2 linked regions of the Lonchura striata genome follow. The protein of the gene in region 2 purifies or fractionates together with the protein of the main gene of each other region. This does not show direct contact. Links are inferred from orthologs where the notes say so. Each region holds a gene or a part of one and is shown on either strand. Other genes may lie near its edges.

Region 1 (10,058 bases), on a different chromosome or scaffold from region 2:
CCAAACCCTGCAAAGGTGAATTTCAATCCTTAAAAAGCTCAGAGGTGCAAGCCCAGGCAAGGAACCAGGCTCTGGTTTTGAGAACACTTCTTACAGGTTTGTGTCTTAATATCCCTGCAAGTTCTTATTCTGCTTCTTTGTGCAGAGAAGATTTTTTAGGGTATCCCTGCTGTCTCCCTGGAAGGAATTCCTGCTGTTTAACATTAAAAAATCTCCCTGTATGGAACTCTTGAAATGTAATTAGAGAAAACACACAATCCCTCCCTGGCTCCCTCCCTCTGAGCTCTCAGCAGCCTCTGCACAGGTGAGTGTTTTACTCTGAGCTGCTGGAATCTGAAACACCCAGAGCCTGGCCCAGGATCTGCCTCTGCATCTCCAGAATAAATGAGGTTTTTCCTACAGCCTGGAGAACATCACTCCACAGAGCCTGTTTATTCCAGCTGCTGAACACAGCAGTGGGTTTTGGTAACAAAAACCCCAACCCAAGGAGGTGGAGCTCCATAAATCTGACTGGAGCAGGGCTCACATCCAGCTCTCCTTGTGCCCTGAGCCCACAGTTTATGGCTGCTGCTGCAGCACCAGTCCCTGGGGAGTTTTTGTGATTTAGACAAGCAGCCAAATCAAATCCATCTCCCCAGGTGCCAGCACCAGGCTGCTGTTTGATGTCTGCTTTAACCAGCACTGCCCTGGATCTAAAATCCCAGCTTGATTTCCCTGTGAACCCCCACCCTCAGTGCTCCACTCCGCTGAGGTTGTGCCAGCACAGGCCCACAAGGACCCAGCCAGGACTGCTGAGAGCCTGCTCCCCACCTCAGCAGCCAAAAAACACTTCTGAGTGTTTCTGTCCCATTTGCTGCAGCTGCAAGAAAAAATCAAGAAAAAAAACCCACACTGCCCTCCTAAAAAAAAAAAACAAAAAACAAAAAACAAACAAACAAACCCAAAAAACCAACCCTTTTGAGTCACTGGAAGAAGGCTTAAAAGGTTTTAAAAGTTCTGAGTAAATGAATGTACAGCACTGTTTTCAGACTGGGACTGCAGGACTTTTCCTTAAGAGCTGCAGGATTTAACAGAATCTTTTATGATCAGAATATACAGAATGTTTCACTTTGAATAATAAATTAATGGCCATCAGTAGCAAGTACAAGGAGTAGAGTTGGAGCAGCAATTGAAGAGTGACCTGTCCAGGGGCAGATCATGGAAGGGGCCACACCAGGGGCTGTCCCAACTGTCTGAGCTCCTGGTTCTGCTCTGCATTCAGAGTTCTGCAGCTAGGGGAAAAAAACTACATTTGAAAACCTGCAAAATTCAGAAACCTCTCTGTGGAACATAAAAAACTGCTGATGCACTACTTGTGGTGCTGGTGAGAGACAGAATCCCTCCGTTTGGGTAGCTGAAATCACAAACCACTCTGAAGGGCAGAATTGCTCAACACCACTGGAAATAAACCTGCAGAAAGATGAGAGCTGCAGCTGCCTCCAGCCTTTCTCTGAGGAAACCTTCCCACTTTGAGGCAGTTGCTGTTTTGCACTCCCATAGCCCCTTTCAGTGGAGTTCCACAAAGCTGAGTGCCAAGATCCAACATTCCCAATTATTTTGGTCATTTGACAGCAGGCAAAGATCCATGTGCAAAATGAGATGATTATCTAAAAATACACCAAACCAAGAGCAGCAGGAAAATGAACACAGCCAATTGCCAGGCTTGCTGCTCTTTTCAGAGTTCAGTTCCAGAACAATTTCCCCCCAGTTTTCAGCAGTTTTTCTCTAAAGCTCTCAAGTCCCAGGCTGGTGCAGCAGCCCCAGTGTGACTCATGATGGCAGTGCTCCTCATTGGACACAAATAAACACAAGGAGAAAAAAAGGGACTGTTCACTCAGACTGGAAAAAACCCAAGGGCAATCAAATGATTTTTGTGTGTGAGGTCAAGGAAGGATTTTGCCCTCTGCTCAGCACCTGAGAGACGCATTTGGAGAATGCCCTGTTCTGAGCAAAAACCCCCAAATCAAACAAACTCCTTCCTACACCAGCAACAACAAGACTGACTTCTCAGAGGGAGTCCAGGATGCTCAGGGCTCTGCAGTAAAGGAAATTCTAACTTAACAGAAGTTTCCAGGATAATTAAACAGCAGCACAGGGAGCCAGAGGGGCTGTGCCAGAGATCCCCCTGGCCCTGGGCAGGGGCTTGCACTAAAATCCTCCAAAGGATGCACCAGAACACCTCCTGACATTGGCAGTCCCTGTCCTTCACTATTGAATCACAACTGGCAGTATCATTCTGCCCACTTAAGAGCCCAAACTGAGACACAGAGATCCAAAGGGATTCTCACCAGCTCCAGCAGAGACCAGAAGTACTTTTAGTGTCACTCCTACTCCAAGGAGACTCTACCTCATGTTGTCCTTCCCCAGTATTGCTTTTCCACCTCAAGGAACTTCTATATTCACACAAAGATTGGTTCTACAGGTGAAAAACTGCATTTGTCTCTTCCCTGCTGCAGGAGGAGTTTGTCCAATGTGACAACAGTGAAAGCAAACAATCCCACACATTTAATGTGCTTGTGTTTGATTAAAGCCCAAATAATCCACAGGGCTCTATTTAAATTGAATCCCAACTCTCTGGATTCCCACAAGCAACATTTCAGGGAAACCATCCTGAAATCTGCTGGGTTTTGGAGAAGCACCTTGCAGGCACTCAGGGGAAAGCAAAGGATGCACAGACAGGAAGAGGGAGAGTTTCCCAGCAGGAACAGGGAGGGTTTTGTGGCTGGAATCTCTGAGCCACAGCCACCTCACCCACTGCTCAAGGCACACAGAATCTGCCCTGGAATGCGAGGAGAAAGAGCAGCAAGGAAAGAGGGAATTTAGAACAGTAAAACCAGACACTCAAGGGCTTTAGAGGTGCCTCTGTGTCAGCCCCAGACCTCTCCAAGCACTGACTGCACACAGATCACTGCACACCTGCACACAAATCATCTCACACCTGCACTGCACACAAATCACTGCACACAGATCATTGCACACAGATCACTGCACACCTGCACAGAGTATCTCACACCTGCACTGACTGCACACAGATCATTGCACACCTGCACACAGATCACTGCACACAGATCATCTCACACCTGCACTGCACACAGATCATTGCACACCAGCACTGTGCTCTGCATTACCTGTTTCTCCTCCTCTGGCATATCTTTCTCTAGTTCTAGCAAGTATTCTTCATCTAGCTCTGTCTGCTTCCTGCAGCTACTCCCGTCATCCTGAACGTTCCCTTCAGCATCCAGCACAGCTCCTTTGGCCTCAAAGGAGTCGTGGCAGTCATGGAAACACTCCTCTGTGGGATCCTGGCTCTGGGGCTGCTGGGCATCGCTGGGGCCAGGCTCTGGAGCCTTCTGATCTGACAGCTTCAGGTGATTCAGTGACTCCTCAGGTGGGCTTGCATCTTTAAATGCTTCCATGCTGGACTCCTGGGAGGGGGTTGTGGAGATGAGAAAGGAGTGACACGCAATGATCAGCATTAATAGACCCATCAGCAAACAAATCCCAGCACCCTGGGGGGGAGGCTGGAGGGGAGCAGTGGGGCCACCTCCTGCATTCCCAAGCACAGGGCACAGGAGTGTGTCCAGGCAGCTCTGAACACCCCTGGGAGGAGACCCCAGCCCCTCTCTGGGCTCTGCCCAGGGCTGGCACTGCCCGGGGCAGGAGTTCTGCCTCCCGGGCAGGGCAGCTGCTGGCCCAGGAACAGAGCCTGGCCCTGCTCTGCCCCCTCCCTTGTATATTTATACACATCCATATGTGGCTAATAATCTACTTTCTCTTATCCACATTTAAAAATCCTTAAAGTGCTCCAAAGTGCTCTTGACATCCCTAAGGGAAACTCAGATATCAGATCCTTAAGGGATCCCTAAAGGAAGCTCGGATCTCTCGGGGCCCTGCAGAGACACGGGGCCGGGACACTGCGCCCGTGAGCGCGGGAACTGCCGGGCTCAGCTCCCGGGGCCAGCCCGGCACAGCCCCGCGGGCCCGGCCCACGCGCCGCTCCCGGCACGGCTCACCCGGCGCGGCCCCTCCAGCCCCACCACGACCCCCGGGGCGCCGTGCCCGGCTCGCAGGGCCTGGAGCGGAGGGGACGGTGCAGACCGGGGCCAGAGCAGATCGGGGCCATCGCCCCCGGCTCCCCCGGGCCCCGGGCCCGCACTCACCTGCGCCAGCTGCACTTCCGGCTTCCGGCTTCCGCCACGCCCCCGGCGCGGCAGCGCCGCTTCCGGCAGCGGCAGCCAGTGAGCCAGGGGGCGCGCGCGGGGCATGCCGGGGACTGTAGTTCTCTGATGTGAGGGCAGGGAGCGCAGGTGAGAACAGGTGAGGGAGGGCAGGGGAAGGCAGCTGGAGGCAGAGGAGGGCAGCTGAGAACAGGCAAGACTGCGTGAGTGCAGGTGAGGGCAGTGAGACCAGGTGAGGGCAGGTGAGGGCAGTGAGGGCAGGTGAGGGCAGGTGAGGGCAGGTGAGGCAGATGCCTCATTCTGCCCGTGGCCTCTTTCTCCCCAGGGCCACACTGGTGTAAATCCTCTCTCTCCATGACTCCTGCAGCTCCTTCAGGCACTGTGAGGCCACGCTGAGGGCGCCCCAAAGGCTCTCCTGCCCAGGTGAGCGCTCCCAGCGGTGCCAGCCCTTCCTCCCAGCAGAGCTGCTGCATCCCCTGCTCGGGCCGGCAGGTGGGCTCACACCTGAGGGGCACGATCCAAACCCTCCCTGCTGCCCGCGCTGGGGGATCAGCCCAGGGGCTGGGGGTTCCTGTTCCCGTGTCCAGCGCTCCCTCTCCACCTGTGCATCCCCAGCCTGCGCTGGTCCCTGATCCAGCCCCGGCTCTTGGCCCTGTCCAACCCCATGGACCTGCTTCTCCCCATGAATACTTCATGTTCATACAGCTCAGGAATATTCGGGTTTTCCCCTGGAACTTTGGGATGACGCTCCTCTTGCTCAGCCTCACACCCCAACTCTGGTTTCATACAACATTAAAGTGTTGAAATATTCCAAATCTGAGTCCAGAAGGAGGCTTGACCTGTGCCAGGGGGATGGAACACAGATCATTGTGGATGCAAACAGCCACAGACTCGTGAGGTTTTGCACTTGACTTGTTCTCTAGAAATTCCTAAATCCTGCTGCCTGCAGCAGAAGACTCAACACGATGCCCGTGAGCCAGGTGCAATTCGAGTTGATAAAACCCAGCGATCTGGAAAGCACCCTCTCATTATTTATTACAATTACTGACCGCAGGGTATCCAACTCCCCCGCTGCCCTAGGCCGGATTAGTGTCGTGTAAAACCCAGGGAATCCAGCGGATCGGGGGATTTGTGCCTCTCCCCGCCACAGAAACCCCATAGGTGGCGATGTTGGATTTTCCAAGCCAGGTCCCCGCTCCTTTCCGTGCCAAACTGGTCCCGTTTGGTGCCAGCAGGGCTGGAGCTCCCCGCGTCCAGCAGAGCAGGGCTGGACTCTCAGCCGCCCAGGACAGGGGACAAATGTTGCACAACTACCTCAGGCTCCGGGCCACACGTTACATTTACTTCTCTGGACAGCTTTTTTTGATCTTCGCAGTGAAGAAACCAAAGCTCAACAAATCAAGCAAAGGGAAAAATAATTGATGTTTTCTGGAGGTCACAGAAAGTTCAGGTTCTTCACCAGAATTAAACATTTGCACACAAGTCTCAGTGGAATCGAATGATTGTGCTTCCCAAAGAACGTTTTGAAAGGAAATTGTGAAATAGGCAATTAAAAGCTTTTTAATCACAGCTATAAATTAAAATTTTACTACATCCGCTTTTTAGGCTGACTTATTAGAGAAACAGTGATGGATTCTTATGAATTTTGAATATCCATTCTCTTTTTCTCTATGTCTTGGCTGGAATGCTGTAAAGATTATGGGAGTTGCTAGACAGGGAGCATGTTCTTCACAGCTCAATGTGTTTTGTTGTAGGAGATTCCCAGTAACAGTCCCAGACTTCCTTTCCCTGTCTCCTTCCACTTGTGTGGCAGTGGAATTTTGGCTACTCTGGGAAAAAGCCAGGTCATAGCTCACAACTGAGTAAAAATGAAATGTAATTTTCTGCTTTAAGTAGGCAGGAGAGTAGAGGGGTGCAGGGGGAGCTGTCCCTGTCAGAGCCCTGTTTTCTCCCCAGGGACACTTGATTTATCCCCTCAGTTTAGTTCCAACCCAAGCAGGCAAACCTGTTGTCCCGGGATCATTAAATCTGATGGTGGAGCTGCAACTTTTCAGTCCCCAAAAAATCAGAGTGGGTGCAAACATTTCAGGCTTCCACCGACATAAACCCAGCATGGCGTGTGCTGTCAGGTGTTTCTTTCTGCCTCCCCAGGTGCAGGTGGTGTTTGTGTGATGCTCCAGCCCTGAGCTCTGTGTCCTGCCCTTTGGAATGTGGGAGCCAGAGAGCAGCTGGGGAGAAGGTGAGTAACTCTCCTGTGGAGTGAGTCAAGCCAGAATCCAGAGCGTTCCCAGGGGGATGAGCTGGTCAGTGTGTGGGATAAGGAACACCGGGTGTGAGCACACCAATAATTCCATCCCATAATTGCTGTGATCATCTCCTGTGCCAAGCAATTTTCTCCTCATTTTTCTGAGGTGAAAGTCAAGCACACAAATCCAGAGCACAGAGCTCAGCTGCTGAATAGAAAGTTATTATTTTGACATTTTCCAGACTGGAACTGTACTTTGTAATACCAATGTCCTCTCCTCTCCACGCCACATTTGTAAAGATAATGGGAAGCTGCACTTCCAAAGAGCAAAGCATGCAGGATGCTCTCCAGCTCCAGCCTCATTCAGCTGGATTGGTTTTAGCATAACTCTTCTCACAAATAAGCAACACATTGAGAGCTGAGTGCACTGAAGCCTAATGGGTTTAATTTCTGTACAGCTGTGCTGTGACAAAGCTCCCCGAGCCATTCCAGCTGTGCCTCTCCACTGAGTGGCTCTGGAGCAGCCCCTCCTTAGGGATGAAGCTACACATGGCAGCTTAACCTGGGGAAATTCAGTGTTTTATGAACACCTTTGGTGCTAAATTGCAGCGATTCATTTAGAGAGGCAAATCTGTTTGCCCACAGAATGGATTCATCAGAAAGTTTGTGAATGAGCATAAAAAAGATACCACCACGTGCCACTGCCACTGCAAGTTCTGCTTGGCAAATTCATTTTGGCTGTAATAAAAAATGGGTTTGTCCCACATGATTGTGCTCTGGCCCAAATAGCTTTTCCTTTAAAGGAAAACATTGCATCAGAAGAAGGACTAACATAAGGAAGAGGGTGATTTGTACAGCCTCCTATGTCTGGCTTTGCCTGGTGGAGGTTGTAAAAGATTCCAGTGGGAAAAATGAAGGTATTCAGAAGAGATCTCATCTGGACAAGTCAGGTGGCCTTGCTAAAGTTCCATATTTTAAAATGGCATATCGGACTTTGTCCTCTGTAATCTTTGTAGTCCTTCCTTCAGATCCATGTGTTTTTCCACAATTTTCAAACTGACAAAGAGATCCTGGTGATGGAACTCCTGTAACTAATTCCTGATGGAAGAATTATGTGTGTTGGTGATGAGAGAAGCAACAGTGTCCCACGAGCCACAATGGCAAATCCATTGGCCATGAGTATTTTATTTTGTAGTGAGAATCCTGAGGAGGAATCGTGGCTGAATTCCAGCCCTACAATAACAGGAGTAAGTGTTTCAATTGTTGAGAAATTACTTTAATCATTGTTTTCCATCTCTAAAGTGCGAGTGTACAGCGATGTATGGAACAATTGGGAATTATGGGCAGAGCCAGGGACAACCTGGAGAGCAATGACCTCGGTGCATTCCTCATTGCTCCATCCATCCATCCATCCATCCATCCATCCATCCATCCATCCACCATCCATCCATCCATCCATCCATCCATCCATCCATCCATCCATCCATCCATCCATCCATCCATCCATCCATCCCTGGCACAGCTGGGCACCCCCACCCCTGCCCACCCCATGCCACCCTGTGTCCCTGCAGGTGTGTGTGTCTGTCCAGCTCTCCCAGGACACCTGCGGGGTCCGTGCGCCCCTCGCAGGGCGTGTGCAGGACCCTCGCTGCCCTCTGCTCCCGCTCCCGCAGCTTCTCCGGGAATCGCGGGGAGCACGGGCGGTCAGTCCCTGCCCTGGGCACTGCTGCGCCATGGAGCCCCCGTCCCTCCTGCTCCCTTCCCGAGCTCCCGGAGGAGCTCCGTGCGCTCCCGCGGGGCTGGCGCGGTGCAGGGCGGTGTCCGGCGGGCACGGGGCGCTCGGAGCCGCCCGTTCAGCGGGGCTCGCCCGCGGGCAGCGCTGCCGCTCAGGGCGTGCCCGGGGGCTCGTGGCCCGAGCCGCGGGGGCCGTGCCCGTTGCGCTCGGGCAGGAGCTGGAAGGTGAAGAGCTGGCAGTGGCCCTGCTGCCCGCCGCCCTCCCGGGCCGGGCTGAGCAGGGAGCTGCAGTTCCTGCACTCGTGCAGCGTGCACAGCTCCAGCTGCGGCTGGCTGATCCTGCTCACGTAGCCGGGGCTGGGCGATGCCGAGGATAAAGTCCTCTGGCTGCCGCTCAGGAAGCTGCCGCTGTCTTCCAGGGAATCCCTCCGGGCGTGTTCCAGGGAGCAGCGGTTCCAGTTTCTGTAGCTGTAGGGCCACCAGCCCAGCTGCTTGCGCCGGTGGCACTGGCATCTCAGGATCTGGATGAAAGCCCTCTTGAACTCCTTGCTGGAGCAGGGGTAGATGATGGGATTCAAGCAACTGTTGAAGTAGCCAAGCCAAAAAATCACCTTGAAGATCGTTTCAGGGGGCTTCAGAGCCGAAAACAGGGATCCTGTCCAGGGAAAACAAGCAGAGAATATCTGAGATAAGGGACTTGTCTGCCTTTAGGAAGGGAACACGTTCATCAGATCACTGTTACAATCTGTGTCTTAAAACTTTTATGCATGTTGCTTTCAGTGTTGGTCTTCTGGTACTAAAATGTTATTTTTAAAGCTAATAAGGAAATGTTTCCCATCAGAAGGCTGAAGGAGCAAATAACTGATGAAGGATTAAAAAATAAGAAGCAGTCATTTTGGTTCTAGGCCCACACCTACTGCAGGAACATCTGATCCCAGGGACAGATCAAATCTCCCTTGTTCAGGCTGTTGCACGAGGAACACAAGGAGTAAGGCTGTGCCTTCCTCAAAGAGCTTTCAAAGGTCATTTTTAAAGAAAAGTGTTCCCAGAACCCCCAAAAAGAGCATTTACAGAGACACCTTAAAACTTCTAATACATCCTCTGGCAGCTCCTGAATGCCCCTCCATTTACCCAGATTACTGTGAGAGTACAAACCTCCCGAAACCTGAAGTTAATTGGGGAACTTCCCACATCTCAGGCATTCACAAAAATGGTGTGACCCAAACCAAGAGGTCATTCTGTGAATACTTCCCCTTCCCTTCACAACCAAACTATTTCCCTAAGGAGGCTGCCCAAATGAAAAACTCACACTGGGGCATCCACTTCCTGTGCTTTCAGTGGTAATTGATCAGCTAAATTTAGCAAATGGGGCTGGAGAAAAGAGTGTATGAGATTTTTATGGCAAGCAGAGCTGGATCTGTTATCCATCTGGGAAAACACCTCTGTGACCAAGGAGTGGGGATCCAACTCTGTGACCAAAGAGAGAATTCTTTTATCAAGAACTGGAGTTAGGTTTGCAGAGTGTTTCAAATGGAAGCTGTCAGCCCAGTCTGGCTGGGAAGGAACCTTTTCCTCTGGTGTGGTTTCGGATTTGCTGGGCTGTGAAAGCAGCTGAGTCAGTGGTGGCTGTCAGGAGGGGCGGGATGTGATTCTGGGCACCGTTCCCATCTCACAGCAACGCAGAGGTCATGCCTGGGGCCTCAAAACTATGCAAGAGCACTTCCTCTGCTCCTGGGTAACAGCTCTGGGGTGCCAGCACAGCCAGCACAGCGTGTGTGGGGCCAGGGCTGGGCTGCACGCCCTGCACGGAGGGTCCTGTGCAGCCAGATCCCAGATTTCATCTGGCAGAGTTTGGGAATGGT
Region 2 (9,034 bases):
AGCACACACAGCTTGGGGTTTGGCTACTGGCAGAATCTAGGGAAGCTCAGCAGGATACTCATCCTTCAGGGAAAAGAGAAAACCAGGATTAAGACAAGCTGCTTCATTATGGCTAAACATGAACACTAAAACCAACAGAAATCCGAAATACTGGGACTTGTAATGAAATCAAATGTTATTGTGATTATTAATGTGTCACTAAAACAGCATTTTCTGAGTGAACTGAGCCTGCATTGCTTTGGCAGCATGAGATGCTTTATTTTTTTTAAATATACCAATAACCACAATCAACCTTCAACAAAGTTGGGGTATTTTGTTGGCTTCTTTTTTTTTCTGTTCTTTAAACGAGGACAATAGATGCTTATTTTGGCACAAAAAACATTCCTCCAAAGCCACACTTTGGCTTCCTTTTCTCCCCACTTTCTTTAACAATAACGAAACATTAGCCTCCCCATATTCAAACCAACAGAGAAGCCAGTAGAAGCTGGAGGTACTCAACCTCTTTCAAAAATACAGACCCCTTCAGAAATGTGATTCTGGAGCATGAAAACTGGACTGAATATTCATGGAAAACCAAAATGGTATTACTCCTACCACCACGAAAAAGCACAGCAGATATTCCTTTTTGTCCTTGCAGACAGCAACATTATCTAACAGATTTCATAAATTTGTCTTAAGAGTCTGCAAAGGAGAGAAAGCAAAAGGCAAGATCTCTGTCTCTTCCCTCCTCTCTATCAGCACCCTGATAACACCCTTGCACCTACCACACAATGAAAAAGTAACAGGCTGTGCAAATTGCCTGGGCACTACTTTGGAATGCTGCAGAAGACAAACATGTAAGCCATGGCTTCTGCCACCACCAGTAAATCAGAGCTTTTATTTGCACTTTATCTGTATCCCGTTTGCGTCAGCGCAGCCGTGCTGCCAGGCAGTGTCAGCTGCTCTCAGGACTGGATGCTGTCCCTGGGGTACAGCACAAACGAGCTCGGAACAGGTCAGGCACAGAGATCACTGTAGGAATTCCCAGCTCATGCTGGTACTTCACCACCAGCTCCCAGGCAGTGGAACAACACAAGGAGGGTTTAAAGGCTGAAGCTTCACCTACCGGAAACAGGAGATGTGCCAAGCTTCATTGACAGTCTTGTGGAGGCGCTGCCCAGCAGCAATGCTGTCCCCACATCCCAGGCATCTCCAGACTTCTTCACCTGCACGCAGCAATAAGGGGACAAACAGCAACCAGTTTACACCAGAGAAAACAAAGATTGGTACATCTTTCATAAAGAACAATCTTAAGTAACTGACAGGAAAGCCTTCCCACATGGAAAGCTGCAGGAAGTCTATAACCCCAGAGTGGGAACTCCCAAATCAAACTCTGATATCTTGTATATTTTTTTCCCCAGACATGACATCTCTTTCTTCACATTCTGCAGAAAAGAAGACTATGACTTTTCACATAAAACAGCTCAGTTACAGCTCTGTCAGAGCAGAGATTTCAGGAAGGCAACACTGGTCTAGTACAACAATTCCAACAGAGAACCATGCTAGGCCAGGAAGACACGCTACTGCTTCCCCCACACCACTGACTCAGCACAAAACATTTGCTCGCATTTGTAGAATTAACTGGATTTCCCAGAACTGAAAGAAAGGAAAGACAAACTTCTTTCAGTAGAGAACAAGTAGACTACCAGGAAGGAATTACACTCTTGAATGAATAATCCCATAGAGACTGTACAGCCAACATCAGACTACCCATCAGACTTAGAAAGGGGGAGTTATGCTACTGGCCTATTGCCCTTTCAGAAAATACTTATAAAAGTTATAATAGAGCTATAATAGTTTTTGCTAGAACTGCCAGAAAGCCCCAGAGAGAGCTGGTTACTTAGATGCAAGCAAGCTAGAAAAACAGAATGAAAGCTTGTGCACAAAGAACATTTGGCACACAGATAAATGGTATCCAAAATCCCAAGGGCAGTGCAGGCATATTAAAGAGTCAAGAATCTTAGTTCAGCACAGGATGGCACAAGAAATGTGTCAGAGAGCTGAAAAGATCCCAAACCTGTTTCTTCCTGCTACTAACAGTTTCCTTGTAGCAAGGCAGCATTAAAGAAAAAGGTGCACTTAGAAAAGCAAACCACAAACCACGGACTTCCCTTTTCCAAAGAATGGTACAACTTGGTAGTTGCTTAGGCAAGTTCATACCACTGTTAAATTCCCTGAAGCTACACAAAACAGAAGCCATCAACTTTCCATGCACCTTTACCCCACCGTCTAGGTCAATGACAATGTTTAAAATTAACTAGGGTGAAGATCTTGCACTTTTTACATAAATAGCTATTTCAGGGAAAAAAAACATTTGCTGCTCAGCTACAAGCACCACTATCACCAGCAGAGCAGCAGTACCCAGGAAGGTCTCCATAAAGATGTAAGGCTCAAAGGGTTCCTTCAAATGTGACTGCTACTTCAGTCCCTAAGTGTGCATCAGCACCACACCTGGATCACCTGCCCCTGTGCCCTTCTGCTAATCCAGAACACCAAGAACTGCACCTGAGCTCACACCTGCACAGTAGAGTAAAGGCTGGGAGAACCTTGGAAAAACCTGATCCTATCCATGTTGTCCCATAAAGGAAATGGCTTTTCAGTGCACCAAACGGGCTTGGGAATAAAAGGCAAAGCTCCGTGTGCCTGTGCCTCCATGCACAGGCAGCCAACGCTCTCCTCTCCAAGCAGGGCAAGCCCTGGAAGTCAGCTGAATTTCTGAAATAGCTGCAGGCCAAAACTACCTGCAAACCAAACATTCTGCAGCTCCATCCCCTCCCATTCAGTGTCACCAGCACAACACACACGTGTAAAAACTGTCTGTGGATCCTACTAAAGATATTTAAAGATCAACTATTACACCATAGCTGACCAGAAGCAACAAATTATTCCCCGACCATCTTACAGAATCTGACCCATCGGCTTCGGAACTCCACGAAGAAACTACACCTACTCTCAGCTGCAGTGCTACATCTCTTTAAGTGTACCCAGGAAGGCTGATTAGCTCACAAAGGGAAACGAACAGTCCTCAATCCAACAGAAATTGCTTCAGTATGCAGGAGAAACGACGGAAATGAAGAAAACAGAGCAGGAAACAGTGCGAAGGAAACGCAAACGGACATAATCCATGTAACAGGTCTGTCGAGTTTCCCAGACGGGAGGAATGTGTCAGAGACGGCCAGCGAGGAGCAGCCGCCGTGGCCCCGGCGGACACCGAGCGGGACAACGGGGACGGGCTGAGCGGCACCGGCGGCCCCGCGGCACCGGCGGCCCCGCGGCACCGGCGGCCCCGCGGCACCGGCGGCCCCGCGGCACCGGCGGCCCCGCGGCACCGGCGGCCCCGCGGCACCGGCGCTGCACGACCCGGCCGGCTCCGGCCGCCCCGGGGGGGACGCGCCGCGTCTCCCACGGCCGTCCTGCGGATCTCAGTGCCCCGGAGACCCGCCGGGAACCCCCGGGAACCGGCGGTGCCACCGGCCGGAGGGAGCCGCGGGCCGGCCCCAGAACGCTCCCCAGCCAGGGCTGACGTCCGGCCGGCTCCGGAGGCAGCGGCCCCGTCGAGCCCCGCGCCCCCGCCGATGCAGCGGCGGCCGCCCCGCGGCGGCGGAGCGCGGCTCCTCCCGCGGAGGCGCGGCCGGCCCGGCCCGAGCTCACCTGGCAGCGCCTCCATCCCGCGCCCGCCGCGCCCGACGCCAGCGGCCGCCGCCGCACCTGGGCCCGCCTCTGCGCGGCGCCGCGCCCGCCCCCGACCAATCGGCGGCGCCCTCTCCGCGCCCCGGCCAATCCCCGCGCTGCCCCGCCCCGCCCGCCCCGCCCTTTCCGCGCCGGCGGCCAATGGCGGCGCCGCCCGCCCGCAGCCCCGCCCCGCACGTGCCCGGCGGGCGCGGCCCCGCTCCCGCCCCCGAGGCAGCGCAAAGGAACGGCGGCGCACTCCGCTCAATGTAAAACCATTTTTTAATTCTAAATCACTTTCACAACAGTGAAAATTAGTGAGGAGCAACGGTAACGCACTAACCGAGCCGTCCGGGCCGTGTGCGGTCAGGTTACGGGAAGGGGTACATACAAAAGCACACCAGGGAAAGGGGGAACCAAGCGTTAACACTTTTAGACTATTTCATCCTTGAATTGCCGGAAAATAAGAGCTCTCGGTCATGCTTCTGCAGCCTTCTCTAAATCCATTATCTCTCTCACTCCTAGATGGAAATTCCCCATCCCCAATCCATTAAAATTCTGGTTTTTAAAATGTATTAATTAAATATATTTCAGTACCTCTTGAATCTATTGCAGTCACTTCTCTATCCTCTTTACGGGATAAAGGCTTCTCCTTCCTGCATAACCTCTCAGCATCGAGTTTCTCCGTACAAAAGGAGAAGGAATCCATCTCTTACTGTCACACAAACCTTCCCTTCCCATCAGCAGGTGGTGCTGACTGCGCAGGAGAGGAAGCCAAAGCTGCGACATTGTAGGACAACCAAACAAAACAGCCTTTCCTCCTGGGAAGGGCCCCAGTTACCAAGTTACACACTTGAGAAGAACCCTATGCCAAAGTTCAGCTACTCAGAAGTGTCACACAACAAAAGCTGAAGCACCACCTCAACTATAAATAGTTGAGCAATATATTCTATCAGATTATCATTAAGTCAGGTATAAATCTGACGTGACAAAACACTGCAGAAGCTTTGCAACATTCTACTTGCCAGATGGAATTTTGGAGGTAGGCAAGTTAAACTTCAGTCATACTCTGCCTTGACACTAAAAGGAAACAGTTTATAATTACATAAATAAACTTCTATAACAATTAATTAAAGGTGTCCTGCCCAGGAAACACTTCCATATGCTAAAAAAATCCCAAGATATTGAAATGAAGTTTCTATTAATTGATTTGCTTTTCAGTTTTTCTGTCTACTGCCAGGGAAGTCACAACATTCATCTTGCAGGAAATCATTATGACTATGAGTGGCCGGAATCAAAAAAATCTATAGACAGTAAGAGGAAAAAAAATGGAATTGCCTAGTCAGAGAAATATGAACTGTTCATCTTGCTAGGGACTTTCTCATACCTGTTTTGAAGGAATCTACACAAATACATCAGGAGTACTCTTTAAAGCTGGATACCCAACAGGATCCCAAAGCGGCTGCAGATTGCTCACCTTCTGAAATATCCCCTCAGCACATTAATGGTTGTGGTCTCCTCCAGCACTTCAAATTAAAATCTTTGGTAGATTTTAGCTGCAGAGACTCTTGCGCTGTAGTTCTGCTGTGGCACGGGAGAAGGTCTGCGTGCATCTGCAGAGAGAAGGTCTTCCAAATGTTCCCTACTGAGCATGTGCTGGCAAAGGCAGGATCTCATGTCTCCTCCTGTATAATTTTACAGTATGACAAGTTTTACCTCAAAACTCATGTAAAGATGCCTTTTGTTCCTCTCCCCAAACAAGCTGATCTCAGATCTGTAATAGGATTTTATCTGGAGTACATGACCTTCTGTAGAAAGTCTCAAAGCCTTGAGAAAGATAAATGTTGCTACAGTGACGAGGCTGTGAGGGGATTATCCACGGGTGCAGCCACAGGTGCTGCACAGAGCTGGGGAAGACAACACTGTTTGTCAGTGAGGAACTGGGCTGGGTCCAGCAGCCCCACCTGGCTCCACAGCCAGAGAATCTTCCAGTGGATGGCTCCAGCATGCTTAGGCTTTAAAAAATTGCAGCATAAATATGTATCCCTTCTTCTAACAGCCATCAGAACCATTCAGGAAGGGTTTTCCATCACACCAGGAAATAACAGGCGGAAAAGAAACCAGTCTCCAGGCCTGGTTCCGTTTGCATCACGTGCTGTGCCCCAGAGAGTCTCAGCAGTGCTGCAGATGATTTCCTGGAGAAGGTCAGATGTTGATGGAGACATTAAATAACATCTGCAGCTCTGGCAGATCCATCGTGGTTGCAAAGCAGGAGATACTGGTGACACTGAAGAAGTTTCCTTACCTGCCCAGTCTGCGCTGGGATAACTGTGTATCCCACAGACCTGGTGTCACTGATTGGCACAGGATTTCAAAGCAGCACTCCCTTTCGGAGTGCAGCTCAACGCTAGGCCCATGGTTTGTGGCAGGAACCTGTTGTACAACATATCTGAGCTGAAATACATTTTTAAACCAATGTTTTAATTACCAACTCTGGTGCAAAATGTGAGATTCCTCATTGTGCTGTGGTACCACCAATTCCTGAAGCCCATAGGTAGCTATGGAACCAGACACCAAGAGGTTTAAAATGGGATGGGGATGCAGTTTGTAACTGTTTCAGTGGCCTTGTTGGTCATGAATATATATAATAATGGAAAAGATTTATGCAATCAACAGCCAGAACATTATCACCAGTGCCACAAACAGGAAGAGGCGGGAAAGGAACTGCTCATCCACATATTGAGGAGTCCCTGGAACAGCTGGAAAACAGGAAGTAAAAAAAACAAACAGTTCAGCTCCTTCCTTTTCTCTCGGATTGTGTATATTCTGAATATAGTATATTCATACATTGAAAAATATGCAAAGGATTTGCTTGGTGAGAAAAGTTGCTACTTTCTACCCTCAGCCTGGCTGCCTGTATGGGCAGATCAGAAGGAAGACAAGTATCTTGAAGCAGGATTCCTTAGTTCAGTCCCACCCCCAGCAGATTTTCAGGGGACACTGAACTATAGCTAACAGGGAAAATAATTTGACCTAAGGACAGCACAGGACCATGGCAACGCTGGTGTGATGTGAAGAATGAGTTTGTTCCTCATAATTCCCGTGCCATATGACATGGTGGAAGATTTGCCAGGTATAACCTTTCACAAAATAAGTTCACAAAATAAGTTCACAAAATCCTGGGCAGTAGGCATTCTTGTTCAAAACAGATTCAGTCTGTCTACAGTGAAGATAGGGAGGAGGTTCTCTAGGGATTACTTCATTGTTAGAGAGCAAGGTCACCCCTTGGAATAATCCAACTGTTTTTTCTTAATCAAAAACGTGAAGTAATTTCACTGGAAAGTTACTTCTTGTAGAATACAGATGACTGTCTCAGATAAATTTCTGGAAAATGAACAATCTTTGCATTTATAATTTGGTGGTACAGAGCACCAGTTTAAATTTTTCCTTCTCATCTTTCAGGAAATGGTACTTTCCTGCTGTTTTTAAAACTGGGTCTCCTTCATACACCCCTAGTGACTCCTTTTTATTATTATTAGAAAGTCTAGTCCAATTTGTCACATTTTTCAGGAGAAGTCTGCTGGTGTACCAGAGGAGACATCTGAATTAGAGGAGAGTAGTCTCCAGTGCCACTGTTTCTCTGCAGTCACTGGTCTCCCAGGAGGGCCTTCAGCAAATTATATAGAAGTGACAAACTTGCTCTTTTATAAGTCTGTGTACAAAACATACCAGCCACAGACCACGTTCTGTACAGAGTGTTTCTGCCCTCATTTAGTGGTTCTATTGACAACACTGGTTACTGCTCAGAATATTTTGCCATTTAGCAGGTTATTTAAGAGTTTGTAAAATGTCTGTCTGTGATGGGGCAGGAGAAGGATCCGTGGTACCTGGAGGAGGTCGCCCGTCGTTTATGTTGAAGGCTGTTGCGAATATACCAAAGGGAAACGCCCCAATTCCAAACGACATCTGGAAGCCACCATCACCAAACCCAAAGCCCTGGAATCCCTGCAGAGAACAAAGAACAGAAGACAAAAAAGGGACTCACTTAGAGCCTATTTCAGAGTATTTTGTGGATGAGCAGATATTCCCTCTCGCTGGCTTTGCCATGGCAGAAGGAGGGTCACGCTGTCTGGCAACTTTCAGTCTGACACACTTTTGTCCAGATCCCCCCCTAGGTCTCCTGGGTTAAAATGTTTCAGACAGCAGCAAATTCACCGAGCAACCCAAAGGTTTGAGAAAATGAAAACTAGCAACTGCAGTTCTTGCTTGAGGGCCACAAATTAGGACAGTGTTTTTCAACTGTAACCTTTCTCAACTTAAAGTAGTATCTGCCAATGTATCAAAATCACCAGGAGGAATTCTACTTAGAATGTCTTAACAATGTATCGTGTGTTAACAGCTGTTAGCCATATAAGAAAGGTACTCAAGAAAATAACCTAAACTGATATTTGTGATACATGTGCATCAGTTAAATACTCAGTGAAATTATAAATTCCCAGTGGGATGCATAGAGCATTTGAAGGAAAACCACAAAAAAATTTACCATGGGAACTCAAATTAAGGTGGCAAAATAACCTGGGGCAGGAATGCAAGATATAAGGAAAGGATGAAATAAAGGAAGTTACAATGCAATAACACTGACCTTAAGCGATCCAGACTGAAATACCGCATCAAGTCAAAAGATAAGTGCTCTGAATTGAGATGAATCCTGCTCTGCAGAAGCAGTGTGCTGTTTGATACTGACTGTGTGTGAATCTAGGGGCTTTGTGTCATGACTAAACACTGTGGAGAGCCCACAGCTCTGTAATCCAGTAAACTGCCCTCTCACCTCAGAATTAAAACAGTGATACCAGTTCTGAAAGACCCTCTGGTTTATCACCACCAGCAATGGGAGGACAAAGATGGTTTTACTTATACAATAAAAGTCAAATGTTTCTTGGTTGACCCTTGATTTGAGGAGTTGGTCTTTTGACCATACTCTCTTCAAACATTTTGCCACTAACTCTGGGGACAGCAAAGCTCTCTGTGGCAGATACAGGATATGAAGAGAATAGCATCACTACTGTCCTGCCTTCACACCCCATCCCTCTGATTTACAGCAGCACCACCTGAAAGGTTCAAGTAAGGTACAGGAGCTGATTTAATAAGGCAGCAATGCTCTAGTGAGAGAGAACAGCTGAGCTCCCAATACATTCAATACAGAAATGCACCTTAATCACACCCTGCAGAGTTGTTTGCTTGAAGCATGAGGGAGACAATCCTCTCCAAGGACCCCGGGCTGAGTTACATGGAAATGTGCCATTGTTTCATCAGGTCATGCTTGCTG

The links.
Region 1: the proteins of LIMK2 (region 2) and TTC1 purify together in Homo sapiens (affinity purification with mass spectrometry; 3 studies listed by BioGRID and IntAct, counting the BioPlex papers as one, with this or other methods). This does not show direct contact. The link is inferred for Lonchura striata from reciprocal best matches to the Homo sapiens genes LIMK2 and TTC1.

The regions. Positions count from the first base shown.
Region 1 is NC_134617.1:1,327,685-1,337,742, forward strand, and holds the start of TTC1 (tetratricopeptide repeat protein 1), read right to left. Parts: upstream 4,242-10,058; 5' UTR 4,200-4,241; intron 3,465-4,199; 5' UTR 3,456-3,464; coding exon 3,168-3,455; intron 1-3,167. Other genes in the region: ADRA1B (alpha-1B adrenergic receptor), read right to left, coding at 8,349-8,851.
Region 2 is NC_134620.1:4,577,303-4,586,336, forward strand, and holds the start of LIMK2 (LIM domain kinase 2), read right to left. Parts: upstream 3,754-9,034; 5' UTR 3,707-3,753; coding exon 3,691-3,706; intron 1,206-3,690; coding exon 1,106-1,205; intron 1-1,105. Other genes in the region: E3 ubiquitin-protein ligase RNF185, read right to left, coding at 6,370-6,467, 7,596-7,713. UniProt on the Homo sapiens protein: Serine/threonine-protein kinase that plays an essential role in the regulation of actin filament dynamics. Acts downstream of several Rho family GTPase signal transduction pathways.